2 linked regions of the Mus musculus genome follow. The protein of the gene in region 1 purifies or fractionates together with the protein of each later gene. This does not show direct contact. Links are inferred from orthologs where the notes say so. Each region holds a gene or a part of one and is shown on either strand. Other genes may lie near its edges.

The links. The genes of interacting proteins can lie anywhere in the genome.
Region 2: the proteins of Ticam1 (region 1) and Tlr4 purify together in Homo sapiens (affinity purification with western blotting; 3 studies listed by BioGRID). This does not show direct contact. The link is inferred for Mus musculus from reciprocal best matches to the Homo sapiens genes TICAM1 and TLR4.

The regions. Positions count from the first base shown.
Region 1 is NC_000083.6:56,268,827-56,275,605, reverse strand, and holds the end of Ticam1 (TIR domain-containing adapter molecule 1), read left to right. Parts: intron 1-3,388; 5' UTR 3,389-3,512; coding exon 3,513-5,711; 3' UTR 5,712-6,144; downstream 6,145-6,779.
Region 2 is NC_000070.6:66,824,288-66,832,780, forward strand, and holds the start of Tlr4 (toll-like receptor 4 precursor), read left to right. Parts: upstream 1-3,263; 5' UTR 3,264-3,544; coding exon 3,545-3,634; intron 3,635-8,493.

The DNA of each region.
Region 1 (6,779 bases):
AGCCTTGAACTCAGAAATCTACCTGCCTCTGCCTCCTGAGTACTGGGATTAAAGGCGTGCGCCACCACGCCCAGCTGTGTTATTTGTATCTTAAGACAGGGTGTATCACTATGCTGACCAGGCTGACCTGGAACTTACCTAAGTGGACCCTGATCTCTTGGGTTCAAGAATCCTCCTGTTGTTGGGCAGTGGTTGTACATACCTTTGATCCCAGCACTCAGGAGGCAGAAGAGGGTGGATCTCTGAGTTTGTTTTTTTTAAAGATTTATTTATTATATATAAGTACACTATAGCTGTCTTCAGACATTCCAGAAAAGGGAGTCAAATCTTGTTACAGATGGTTGTGAGTCACCATATGGTTGCTGGGATTTGAACTCACGACCTTCGGAAGAGCAGTTGGTGCTCTTATCCGCTGAGCCATCTCACCAGCCTGGAGTTTGAGGCCAGCCTGGTCTACAGAGCGAGGTGCAGGACAGCCTGGGCTACACAGAGAAACCCTGTCTTGAAAAACCAACCCCCCCCCAAAAAAAAAAACCCAAAAACAAAACAAGAAAGAAGAAAGAGGGCTGGTGAGATGGCTCAGTGGGTAAGAGCACCTGACTGCTCTTCCAAAGGTCCGGAGTTCAAATCCCAGCAACCACATGGTGGCTCACAACCATCCGTAACGAGATCTGACTCCCTCTTCTGGAGTATCTGAAGATAGCTACAGTGTACTTACATATAATAAATAAATAAATCTTTAAAAAAAAAAAAAAAAGAAAGAAGAAAGAAAGAAATCCTCTGTCTCAGCTTTTCAGATATAGCTTGGACAAGAGGAAGCTGCTGCCCATACATGGTGGAGGCAGGAGGATCAGAAGTGTAAGGTTATGCTGGGCTACATAGTGCAAGGCCCAATCCTGTCTTAGCGACAAAAAAAGCAAATAAAACACAAGTACTGTGTGTCCTGCTCTGTTTTGTCTATTCACTGCTCAGTGTGTCAATAAACATTTCTCTCTCCTGTCTGCTCTCTTTCTCTCCTCTCTCTGCTGCTATCCTCTTTCCTGGCTGGGAGCTGAATGCAGGGCCTCATGTATGACAGACAAGCGCTCTGTCAAGTCAACTGCAGCTCCACACCTCAGTGTGCACTTATTAGGCACTGGCTGTGTACCAGGCACTGTCCTGTTCCTATTGTTCTCACTATGTAGCCCTGGGAACTCACTCTGTAGACCAGGGAGGCCTCAACTCTGAGATCCTCCTGCCTCCTCCACTGCTAAGTGCTGGGATTAATGGCGTGCACTACCAGGCCCATCGGTTTATTTTTATTTCATTTTGTTCTTCCACCACATGGGTCTCAGGAACTGAACTCAGATCTTCAGACGTGGAAGCCTCTCAAGCACCCTTATCCACCCAGCCATCTTGTCGACCCTCGTGGAGCAGTTATTGTGCACCTACTGTGTGTCAGGCACTCTAGATACAGGAACTATAGACAGTTGTATCAGAGCCCTGCCCCTGTGGAGTCCCCAGATTGGTCAGGTAGGAGGACATTAGTTAGTGTGAGGTTGTGAAGAGTTGAGAGATGACTCCAGCAGGTGTGTTGAGAGAGTTGCCCACTGGGGAGGCCAGTGGGCTACTGCACTGAGGTTTTGTTCCCAAATGGTTGCTATTGCTGTCTGAGGGACAGCCGTGCAAAGGTCCTGAGGTAGGACAGTGCATTTCAGTCACAGCGCAGTAAGGTCAGAGAGAAGAGAGGGACAAACGATGCTGTATCCTCTGACTGGTGCCCCCTCACCCCACAGTCCATCCTCTCCACAGCACACAAAGGGTTCCCATGAGCATAGATGAAAGTTTCCTCCCTGTGACCTGCCCACAGCTTTCCTGGGCTCCCACCTCCCTGCAGCCCACCAGGCCCTGGCCGCCCTGGCCATTCCTGCCCTGCCTCCCTCTGCTCCGGCCTCCTCACTACTGCAGCTTGCCAGGATCCTCTTGCTGTACATGGGGCTGAGCCCTGTGTCCCAGGGCCTTTGCACTGAGTGCTCTCCGGAAGAACTCACCTTCAGGGGCGATCAACTCTGTGGTGCCCTCCCTGAGGCATCCTTCACCCCGGGTTCCGTCTCAGGCTCATTTCCTCCAGGGCACTTTTATTTCTTGAAATGACCTTACACGGTTGTTCTCATTTCCTGTTGCTCTGACAGAGGTCAGCAGCATCTCCTGCCGAAGTGGCCAGACACAGTAGGTGTGGGAGAACTGGTCAGCCTATGAGGGGACTGCACAAGTGCGGGGTGAGAAGGCTGGACGTGAGAATGGAAGTAGAGTGTCCTAGAAATGGGTAGAGTTTTGGTGTGGTGGGGAAGTCAGGACTGGGACTTGGTTGCTAGGGCTGTGTGTGTCCTCTGCTCCAGGGCCTTTATATGAGCTGCACCCTTCACTCAGGCTTCTCCATTTTTGTGTCCCTGGGATCTATAAACACAAGCCTTAGTCCTTGGAGTTCTTGACCCTTTCCGGCTTAGTTCTGCAGCACTGACCCGCTGCAAACATTACCCATTTTTCTCTGGCCCAGGGTTATATTTTTCTGTTTCTTTTGTCTCCACTATCACTGCCTCTGCCTGCATAGCCACACCTGATTGCCCCCATTTCCCAGCAGCCACAGAGAAGGTGGTCACCCTCTCTCTCAGCTCTCTCTCTCATTCCTGGTCTGCCATCAGCTGTTACCACTCCCACCTGTGACTGTTGCTCTGCCAACGGTTGTAAGGCCCTTCCCTCTGCCTACCTGGCTCTCATGAATTTGGCACTGAGCCCGGCCCCACCTCTGCTGCTCAAAATCAGGTCTTTGAAGGCTTTAGGTCATCTGTGTGCAAAGTCTGTGGGTTAGCTGACTGACCTGTCCACTTCTGGTTTAGCCCAGGGTCCTCTGCCTTGGGCATTTTCTCTGGGGCATTGTAGGCTGCTAGATGCTTCCCTGGCCTTCACGCACTCTATGCCAGGGCTCTCTGGTCATAGCAGCCACATCTGTCCCTGCCTGAGCGGAGCAGGCAGTGACCCCCCATTCCAGCCTGCCTATGGAGGCAGGAGAGGTGTCAGGGTCCCGAGGATTGGCAGATGCTCTGCGGTCTTCTCAGCTGTGAACAGGGAGCTGGGAATAAGTGACTGTCCACCTGAGGGTATGCCAGTTTATGCCACATCCACTCACCCACTCATTAAGAGCAGTCACTCATCACCACACCTTGTAGATGCAGCGCTGGGCATGGAACTTGGTGCTCCATGAGTGCTCAGCCAACAGCACTCTACCCCATGGACTCAGCCCTCTTCCTGATTTGACAGGCCCGGGACCCTTGCCTCTGCCTCCCAGGGTTGGGGTTGAATGGGTGCAGCATCTTGTCTGGAAAGTCATGATGAACTCCTACTCCTGCAGGTCTGTGCTGCCGCCCTCCAGCATCTTTGCAGCAGGGGACGAGGCTGTGTGGGAGGCTGTCGGTTCGGAACATGTCTCCACCCACCCCACCCTCTGTGGCTCCAGGCTTCATTCTCCCCCATCCATGGATAACCCAGGGCCTTCGCTCCGTGGTGCCTTTGGCATTCTAGGTGCCTTGGAAAGGGACAGGCTGACCCACCTGAAACACAAGCTGGGGAGTCTGTGTTCAGGCAGCCAGGAGTCAAAGCTTCTCCATGCCATGGTACTCCTGGCTCTGGGCCAGGACACGGAGGCCAGGGTCTCTCTGGAGTCCTTGAAGATGAACACAGTAGCCCAGCTGGTAGCCCACCAGTGGGCAGACATGGAGACCACAGAGGGCCCTGAGGAGCCTCCAGACTTGTCCTGGACGGTGGCTCGCCTGTACCACCTGCTGGCTGAGGAGAACCTGTGTCCGGCCTCCACAAGGGACATGGCTTACCAGGTGGCCCTTCGTGACTTTGCCTCCCAGGGTGACCACCAGCTGGGCCAACTCCAGAATGAGGCCTGGGATCGGTGCAGTTCAGATATCAAGGGGGACCCCAGTGGTTTCCAGCCACTCCATTCTCATCAGGGTTCCCTGCAGCCACCTTCAGCATCCCCTGCAGTGACCAGAAGCCAGCCTCGTCCCATTGACACACCAGACTGGAGTTGGGGACATACGTTACACTCCACCAACAGCACTGCCTCACTGGCCAGCCACCTAGAGATCAGCCAGTCACCCACTCTTGCCTTTCTCTCTTCACACCATGGAACCCATGGGCCCAGCAAGCTATGTAACACACCGCTGGACACTCAGGAGCCTCAGCTTGTCCCTGAAGGCTGCCAAGAACCTGAGGAGATAAGCTGGCCTCCATCAGTGGAGACCAGTGTCTCCTTAGGGTTACCACACGAAATTAGCGTTCCAGAGGTGTCTCCAGAGGAGGCTTCGCCCATCCTCCCTGACGCCCTGGCTGCTCCAGACACAAGTGTCCACTGTCCCATTGAATGCACAGAGTTGTCTACAAACTCCAGGTCTCCCCTGACGTCCACCACAGAAAGTGTTGGAAAGCAGTGGCCTATTACAAGTCAGAGGTCACCTCAGGTTCCTGTAGGAGATGATTCTCTGCAGAACACCACGTCATCCAGCCCTCCTGCCCAGCCACCATCCCTCCAAGCCTCCCCTAAGCTGCCTCCTTCCCCTCTGTCCTCTGCTTCCTCCCCGAGCAGCTACCCTGCTCCTCCAACCTCCACATCCCCTGTTTTGGACCACTCAGAAACATCTGATCAGAAATTCTATAACTTTGTGGTTATCCATGCCAGGGCTGATGAACAGGTGGCCCTACGTATTCGGGAGAAGCTGGAGACCCTCGGGGTACCTGACGGGGCCACCTTCTGTGAGGAATTTCAGGTGCCCGGGCGTGGTGAGCTGCACTGTCTCCAAGATGCCATCGATCACTCGGGGTTCACGATCCTGCTCCTGACTGCTAGCTTTGATTGCAGCCTGAGCCTGCATCAAATCAACCATGCTCTCATGAACAGCCTTACACAGTCTGGGAGGCAGGACTGTGTGATCCCCCTCCTCCCACTTGAGTGTTCTCAGGCCCAGCTCAGCCCAGATACAACCAGACTGCTCCACAGCATTGTGTGGCTGGATGAACACTCCCCAATCTTCGCCAGAAAGGTGGCAAACACCTTCAAGACACAGAAGCTCCAGGCACAGCGGGTACGCTGGAAGAAAGCGCAGGAGGCCAGAACCCTCAAGGAGCAGAGCATACAGCTGGAGGCAGAGCGGCAAAACGTGGCAGCCATATCTGCTGCCTACACAGCCTATGTCCATAGCTATAGGGCCTGGCAAGCAGAGATGAACAAACTTGGGGTGGCTTTTGGGAAGAACTTGTCACTGGGGACTCCAACACCCAGCTGGCCCGGATGTCCACAGCCAATACCTTCTCATCCTCAGGGTGGTACTCCAGTTTTCCCCTATTCCCCACAGCCTCCATCCTTCCCTCAGCCTCCATGCTTCCCTCAGCCTCCATCCTTCCCTCAGCCTCCATCCTTCCCACTGCCTCCAGTCTCTTCCCCACAGTCCCAATCCTTTCCATCAGCCTCCTCCCCAGCCCCACAGACTCCAGGACCTCAGCCTCTCATTATTCACCATGCCCAGATGGTTCAGCTGGGTGTCAACAATCACATGTGGGGCCACACAGGGGCCCAGTCATCTGATGACAAGACTGAGTGTTCGGAGAACCCCTGTATGGGCCCTCTGACTGATCAGGGCGAACCCCTTCTTGAGACTCCAGAGTGACCAGGTTGGACCCCACCTAGATGGCTAGAGTGACAAGATTGGACTTCACCTGGGTCCTTAAAATGATAGTGGAGGAAGGGAACCTCGCCTGGGTCCCCAGAGTAGCCAGAGGACTTAGCTTGGGCTCCCACAGTGGCTATTAGTTGGACCCAGCTTGAGACCCCAGAGGCAGGGAAGACCACACCTATAAATCAGGCCTGGGAAACATGCAGAAACCCCATTTGAACAGACTGTGGGACTCCAATCTGAATCCTCTATGTGGACAGAGGATGATGGGGCCAGAGGCACCTCTGAGGTGCCCTCAGCGCAGCCTCGTAAACTTCATTCACTGTGACACATGCTGTTCATAGGGTCTCTCTGGGGAGGATGCGGTCCCGGGGCACATAGGGAGGGTCCTGTTTTTATAATAAAGTTATTGACAACTGAGTCATAAGCCAGCGTCACCACACTCTATCGTCTTCAGGGAACAAGCAGGATACGACAACTCTGCCATGACTGGAATAGAAAAGGAGGTCGGCTGACCCAGTCCTTGAGAGGCAGGAAACGGAAATTATGTAAATATACTCATCCCATTGGTCAGTTTAGGCTACGGCACTTTCTTTTGCAAGGAACTCTAGGAAATGTAGTCTTTGGGGGTGGGGACCGGCAGCCATACCTCAGGAAGTCTTTTTTTGTTTGTTTTTTTCGAGACAGGGTTTCTCTGTGTAGCTCTGGCTGAGTAAGTCTTTTAATGTCAGGAAAGGAGGAGAAAAAGAAACGGGGGGAGTTGCTGCCAGTTTTGACTGCTTTGTGCATTTACTTATGTAGTGCACACATCCCAGGGCATTTGTGGAGGTCAGAAGACAATTTGTGACCGCTGGTCCTCTTCCTTCATGCTGATTCCTCCCAAGACAAGCCAGACCTTATACATTTTTTTTTTCTTTTCACAATTATTCTAGCAGATTTTGCTACAACAGGGCATGAGCGTGTGAAGTTAAGCCAAGGCTGTGTGACTTTGCATATTCTACTCTCAATTTATTTATTGGGTTTATTCTTTTTTTTTTTTTAAGATTTATTTATTTATTAAAT
Region 2 (8,493 bases), on another chromosome or scaffold:
TGTGTGCATCAATACCTCCTGAGACACAATTTAGAAGAGATTATTTGATTCTTTCTCTGAGGCTTCTTTTTACCTGTTCTTCCCTTTGGTAGCAAGAAAGGACATGTGCATCTTGGGCGTGGATGTACTTCTCAGTATTCTGTCCTTAATTATCACACTAGATTATTTTTCTTTTCTTTTTTTTTATTTTTCTTTTTAAAAATTTTTTATTAGGTATTTTCCTCGTTTACATTTCCAATGCTAGCCCAAAAGTCCCCCATACCCACCCACCCCCACTCCCCTACCCACTCATTCCCCCTTTTTGGCCCTGGTGTTCCCTTGTACTGGGGCATATAATGTTTGCAAGTCCAATGGGCCTCTCTTTCCAGTGATGGCCGACTGGGCCATCTTTTGATACATATGCAGCTAGAGACAAGAGCTCTGGGGTACTGGTTAGTTCATAATGTTGTTCTACCTATAGGGTTGTAGATCCCTTTAGCTCCTTGGGTACTTTCTCTAGCTCCTCCATTGGGGACCCTGTGATCCATCCAATAGCTGACTGTGAGCATCCACTTCTGTGTTTGCTAGGCCCCGGAATAGTCTCACAAGAGACAGCTATATCTGGTCCTTCTCAGGGAAGGCTGGCGATCTAAGCACTATTACTATTGCAGCAAAGACATACTCTACTTGGTATGCATTACAGACATTGATTGGAGGATGAGGGGGGTTAGGAAAGTTAAGATTTCAGAAGATGACAGTCTAGATTCTTTAAGTCTATTTTACAATGTTTTTCTCTAGCCTAGGCCAAGAGACATAGTCAGTGAGGAATTTCATTTTAGAATTATTTTACATTTGAAGTTTCTAGAATTTGGCACAATTTCTAAATGTGTAGTGAGATAAATGGATGAGGAAGGGATTAACTTTAAAAAGCTAGATTTTGATTTTGTCCTTTAATTCATTGATTGCTTGTTTGTGTCTGTCATATCCCCATGTATGTACTTAGATTTATGTATCTGCATGTGAAGGATAGGAGGATTTCGGTGTCTTACTGTGACTTTGTACTTTATTCCCTAGGAAGAGGGTCTCTTACTGAACTTGTATGTAGACTTGTGGCCAAGAAGCTCCACAGAGCCCCTGGAAAGGAGTAGCTGAGAGAATTCTAACCTGATTGATGGTGATCTAGACTTTTGCAGCTTTGTTGTAGCTAAAATACATTTGAGGTTCTTATGACACACCTTGGGGGTATCGACTGGACTAGTGATGTTTATCCTTCTATTCATCAGAAACTTATATGAACTTGCTTTTCCTCAGGCATGGCTCTAACAGCTTTACAACTACTCTTTGAGGAAGTATGATTATCCTTATATTGCCCACATTTTATTTTTATAATTGCCATAGTTGTCTTTTATGGGATATAATGAGGATCTGTGCTATGATTAATTTAATTCAACCACACAAGATAGATAATCTTCTATTTATTTAAAGATTTTTCTTTTTATTTTCATTCATGTATGAGTGTTTACCTACATATTTGTATGACTATCACATGCAGTGTCCATGCGAGTCAGAGGAGAGAAATAGATTCCCTGGAATTAGAGTTACAGATGGTTGTGGGATAGCATATGGGTGCTGGGAAGCAAACCCCTTTCTTTCAGAAGAGCAGAAATGACTCTTAATTGATGAGCTATCTTCCCAACTCTATACCTTCATTCTCATAGTAGCAAATGGAGAACTGGCTTGTATAGCTTGACTGCTGTCATGCATCTTTTTTTTTTTTTTTCTCTTCAGAGGCAGATGGATCTTTGAATCAGAACAATGAAGGGACCCAGTCTCTCCATGGAAGTGGAGACTGTACATAATTTTGCAGGGGGCTTGGGTTTTATATGGTGAAAAGGGGGATTTGGGGATAGAAGTTTCATAATGCAGGTCAGTTCTCCTGAAGTCTCAGTGGAGGTTGGAGGTTGCTGGTATTTTCATCTTCTTATCAGAAGCTTCCCTGGGAAGCTACCACATGCCAGCAGTCCACAGATGATCCAAGCAGAATCACATAGCCTTCTAAGTGTATGTATTCTAAATATTAGTATTTAGATATGTCAAATAATGTAAATATGTAAAGAAGGAGGGAGGTAAAAACTGTTCTCAGGTTTACAGGGCTGAAAATGAGGCTCAGGAAATAAAATCATTTGGACAAGGTGATCTGGTGTTTAGTCATCTGACCTGACCTTTACTTCAGCAACTTCTGATTCCCTTCACTACTTCTTCACTAGCAGTGTCACATGTAGAATTATGTACTGTTCCCTAAAATTCATAGGCTGTGCCTGTTTCTGTGACTGCAATTTAAAAATTCATCTCCCAGTGCCATGTCCTATGACTTGAATTTAATGAGATAATTAAAGTAAACTAATGTCTTATGGGTCTGCCTTAATACAATATAACTGATTATTTTAAAAAAAGAGGTCAGGGGCCAGGGAGATATCTCAGTTGATAAAATGTTTCAAATTCATGAAGACCTGCAGATCCTCAGTAACAGCATTTAAAAAAATGAAATAAATAAACAAATAAAAAGCAAACATCGTAAAAAAACAACATCACAAACAACAAAAACCCGAATGCTGATATCTATAATTCCAGCACTGGGAAAAGGCTAGCTACAGGTGGGAGATCTCAAAACTTAACTGATCAGTCAGTATAGCCAAGGAATCAGTACCAGGTTCAGTTAGAGACCTCGGCTCCAAAACAATGGTGGAGCCTCTTGAGTTTCTCCCACAGCTCACGAGCCTGCTCCTATCTTTCCTGAACGTTCTCCTTTTAATAATAAACACTATGATCCTGTTTCCAATAATAAATAGTAATTAATAATAAAAGAAGATTGAGAACTGAGAACTGCAGAAGGCACTCAATAGTGAACTCTGGCTTTTACACACACACACACACACACACACACACACACACACACACACACACACACACACACACACGAAATATACATCCCCCCCGTGAACGAATGAACACGTACACACATAGGTAAAAGAAAGCATCATGACACAAGACACGGCAACTGATGATATCTTCATCCTGGGTTTTAATCTCTAGCATTGTGAGAAAATATGTTCCTCTAGTCTGAAACATCCAGTCCCTAATACTGTGCTCTGGGAGACTTGGGAGTCTAACTGAAGCAGTAAGCATCCTCTGTTGAAAATAAAGAAGGAATGAGGATGTTGCTCCACGCCAGTTCCCTGCCTTCACCAAGCCCAGAGGTCAGATGACTTCCTGGGATGAAAGCCAGCTTCCTCTTGCTGTTCCTCCAGTCGGTCAGCAAACGCCTTCTTCCTGTTCTAGTCTTCAGTCTTCTAACTTCCCTCCTGCGACGGGGCAGATCGATTCTAGAACAAAACCAAAAGTGAGAATGCTAAGGTTGGCACTCTCACTTCCTCTTTGAATATAGTACTTGCAGAGGGGCACCCACTGGGAGGGAAGAGGCAGGTGTCCCAGGGACTCTGCGCTGCCACCAGTTACAGATCGTCATGTTCTCTCATGGCCTCCACTGGTTGCAGAAAATGCCAGGATGATGCCTCCCTGGCTCCTGGCTAGGACTCTGATCATGGCACTGTTCTTCTCCTGCCTGACACCAGGAAGCTTGAATCCCTGCATAGAGGTATGTGTCTTGATCGCATGTGATCACACCCTTTCCTGCTAGCCTGCCTTGTTTCTCAAAACTATCCACAGCTCAGAGCTCCCTGTGTGTGCTCTGCTTAGTTTATTTTGCACGAAGGAGTTAAACTAACCAAAAACTTGAGAAGCCTTGGCAACAAAAAGCCTCAGTGTTAACACAGGGCAGGAACAGGCAGCCAGGGGTGTCTTGTTTCATTTAAGGCGTCTGAGTCATGATTTAGGGACTTGAAATTAGTAAAACTAGTTTATAGTCATTGTTCTGTGACATACCTGAGAGTCGTTAAAGAACTTACTGAACGTCTCTGAGGCCAGTATTCACGGGACGAAAGCATGACTGTAATCACTGAAAAATGTAAGTAGGCTGTAATTTCAGGGCTTTCTGTGGGAACTCTGGCCACTCAGCTTTTAGCGGTCATTCCTTCCCTTTCCAAATCAAGTGAAGGTAGCTGTGTCTTTTCTGCTGCTTTCGAAGCATCTTTGAGATGCTTTGAGTGGTAGCTCAGCAGGTAAGGTCAGTGGCTGCCAAGCCTGATGAAAATCTGAGTTCAAGCCTCAAGCCTCACAAGTTAGAGGCAGGGAATCTCCTCCTTTAAGATGTCTTCTCACTTGCAAGTGTCTGCCTTGGCAGGTGTGTATATGCATGAGCACACACACAAATGAATAAAGGGAACAATTGTCTTAAATGAAAGAATTTCTATTAAAAAATAAAACAACAAAACACACAAAAACACAAAGACTTTTCTAAGTGATTTTAGTATTCTGCAACTAATTCTAGGAGATAAAGAAATGGGAGGGGTGAGGGAAGGAGAGGGACAGAGCAACTTAAAACATCAATTAGTTACTGCTAAGGCAGTAACTCCCGTTTTGGTCGAATACTGAGTCGTGAGTAATCTGACCCATGACTCATTCTTGTTTTCCTCCTGCACAGACCACGCAATTATCTTAGAAGCTCACAATAGAACTGAGCAAACAAGGAAGGAATTCGGGGTGAGGTAGGCTCAGAAGCTCAAAACTGGTTCAATGAGTTAAGATACATGACATTCACATGGGGAAAAATACTGTTAATTTTAAAAAGTTATAATCACAGTATCTTGCTTTCTGATTCCTCAGTTATGTTGGCAGAGATGGAATTTCCAATCAGTGCTACACTGAGATAAAATCCCGTTGCTCTTGGTGTCTGGTGTGCTTTGTCAACTCTCAAAGCTTGCTTGTTCCTTCTGTAAGCCAGGTCTCAGGGCCCTTGGCCTTGTCTTCAGGAGTGATTCCTGACTGGTTTCCTAGTTCATATTCCTTTCTATACCCACACACAGTTTCTTCTTTATTTGTTGTTATTGGTCCAGGGGCTTAGATTTATCAAACTACTCCTTTATACTCTTAATAACTCTTTGGAACCATGATGGTTGCTTCATCCTACAGGGCCTTAGCACTGCCTAAGCTAACTACACACACCATCATCCCTCACCTAGGTCAAGGCTCACCATGCTAAAATTATGGAATCCCTGTATATAGTTTAAAACTTCACTGTTGATCAAATTGAAAAATTAAGAATAAATGCATCAAATTAGTTTCAATGATTTTTATGCAATTAAATATAGTTATGATGCGTGAAATATAATAAAAGCATCCCACACTAACACTGGCTAAGCACTAGCCTCAGGTCTGTCTCCAGCCCTATGGACAGGCCGAGGAGAACATGTTCTTTCCTTTAGCCAGGGTCTGTCTCACCCATGCCTGCTCTGTGTCTCCAGAGCTCTGAAATTGCTCTTTTCACCAGGCTCCATAAGTTACCATGGCTGGCTGATGCCAAGCACGCCCCACATTTCCAAATTCCTGCAGCTGGCTGGGGTGTACTTTTTTTTTATTAGATATTTTCTTTATATACATTTCAAATGCCACCCTGAAAGTTCCCTATACCCTCCCCCCACCCTGCTCCCCTATCCACCCAGTCCCACTTCTTGGCCCTGGCGTTTCCCTGTACTGGAGCATAAAAAGTTTGGGCCTCTCTTCCCAGTGATGGCTGATTAGGCCATCTTCTGCTACATATGCAGCTAGAGATACGAGCTCTGGGGGTACTGGTTAGTTCATTTTGGCTGGGGTGTACTCTTGCACACCACACTCTACCACCATACTTTTCTCTGGAGCCCAGTTGAGTTGCCATGTGAAGGAAAACACAACACACACTTGGTCTACAATCAACAGGTAACACAATGTTGGGTGCAGAACCTAGCATCCTAATTTTTTTTTATTAGATATTTTCTTAATTTACATTTCAAATGCTATCCTCACAGCCCCCTATACCCTCCCCTCTGCCCTGCTCCCCAACCTACCCACTCCTGCTTCCTGGCTCTGCCATTCCCCTGTACTGTTTTTGTAAACTAATCTATGTTAAAAATCCTCCGACTCAGGAGCCTCTTGTTCTTGTGGAGACTTGAGGACCCAGGATAGGGGAACACTAGGCTGTTAAGGCAGGAGTGGGTGTGAGGGTGAGGGAGCACCCTCATAGAGGTAGGGGGGTGGGGGACGGCGAGGGGGTAGGGGGCTTGTGGAGGGAAAACTGGGAAGGGGGATAACATTTGAAATGTAAATGAGTAAAATAACCAAAAAACAAACAAACAAAATCCTCAGGTGGCAGATCTTGGAGGATCCACCACTTGAATTGACAGCCTCCGACTATCTGCAATGTGCCTCTAATGCTCTCAGCCATCCACAAAGAGACCTTCCTTACTCCTGCCTCCCTCTTCCTCTTCCTCTTCCCGACTCGGAAGTCCCACCTACTCATCTAGTGATTGGTTTCCTGTAATGTTTATTAGGGGGAAATCCTACCACATAGTTAAGCAATTACGAAGATACCTTATGTTCAATTTTTGATACAGGAAATTAGACATTCAGCAACATTTTTGTTTTACTGGACATTTTGATTTCTCCTATGCGTGTTTCATATTTCATAGCTATGTGTGGCTTATAGCTGCAGTACTCTAATGTGGAGCTTTGATTTCAGGATTATCTTTTTCATTTTATGTAGATTTCTCTGTGAATGTCTCCTCAGGTTGATTTTTCTTGATTGCCTCATGTACATTTTCCCCTTTACCCTCTCCATATGCTCTTTCATTGATCATATCATTTTGTATGTTTGTCTTTTATTTTTCCACCATTTATTCTCCCCTTTGTGTAGAATAAACAAGAAGGGAGTATTACTGCTGGGTTTGTTAGCATGTCACCAATGCCTCTCAGTGGTTAACGCTAAGACCCTTTAGTACAGTTCCTCAGGTTGTGGTGACCTTCACCCATAAAATTCCTTTTGTTGCTACTTCTTAACTATAATTTTGTTATGGTGTTGAACGATAATGTAACTATCCCCTATGCAGGATATGTGATATGTGATCCTGTAAATGGATTGTTTGACCCTTAAATGGGTCAAAGTCCACAGGTTAAGAACCACTGGCCTAGATCATGATAGGTCTTCAGTTGTATGTGTAGTATGTGTGAAACCAGTGAAAGAATGACTTCTGAACACCATCTGATGTCCTCGTGTTCTGCCTGTGGCTTCTCCATGACAGAAGGCTCTGCCAGTTTGTCTACATTTGTTCCCACTTGTTATTATTTGCTTATGTTCTTTTCTCCTTTTGACATACATATTTTTTCCTTTACCACACATTTCCTTGATCAGCTTTCCTTCTGAATCTAGAATCTGTGTCTTTGCAACTTTCGTAGTTCTTATTCATGTTCTTCTCTGTTAGCTGGTTCTATGAGTGCAGTGCCATCAGAAATCATGTAACATGTATTCTTGTACCACCCATGGCCTTTAGCAGAAAAAGCCTACTATTTAACTTATACGGGCTGGTGTCCCACCAATTACACAATATTTATCATTCATTCATCCAACAAATGTCTATTGAGCATTGAGAGGTCACCATGTACCTTTCTGAGCCTTGAAGATAAATAGCAAACAAAAATCATCAGAGCATCAATGCTCATGGTTCAATTGATAAATGAAAAGCATCTGGAAAATAACTATATAGGCAAGAGATTTACCTTGTCATCAAAATCTGTAAAGGAAACAAAAGAGGGTGAGAGAAGAATTTCTGTCTGATGCCTTACTCTCTTAGATACATTGCCTTCAAGGATCCGATGATGAGTACCATTTAGGGAGATGTGTGTGAAGAAGCCTGTTTATGTATGAATCTTCTGACTATATGTGTATTACCCCACCTCTTTTATTTTCTTTGTCTTTAGAGGATTTTTTGAAGATTAGTATAAAATACATAAGTTGTAAGTAAATGCTAATATGTAGCAAGGAATGAATAGTAACCAATGATAATTAACATTAATATTTATCACTTTAATTAATGCAAGCTTTGAGATAAGCTCTGATCTCATTTAGCCCTTTGAGAATTCTATTGCTTTTAAATAAGAGAAAACAAAACTCACTGGGTTAAGCAAAGCATTTTGCCAGATGAAATCATATAATTATGATATTACATGAAATGTTATGGTATAGGGTTCACAATAAATGTGAGAAAACAGATAAAACTAGTGGAGATTATGATAGAGAAAACACTCAACCCTGAGTACAATTTTCTACCACTGGAATCCATGCACTATAAGACAGCCTCTGATCCCAGGACCAAACTGAGAAAGTCAATGAATCTAAGAACAAAAATAATTGTCAAAAAATAAGGCAGAATCTAGGAAATGTCTGTATATTTTTATTGGTACTCTCCATGTAGCTGTATATAATGAAAATGATGAATTAGAACAACAATAATTTTACATAAAAGTATATACAAGCATACATTAACATGGCTTTTACATACAACTAGCGAGGTTCACAGAAGATATTAT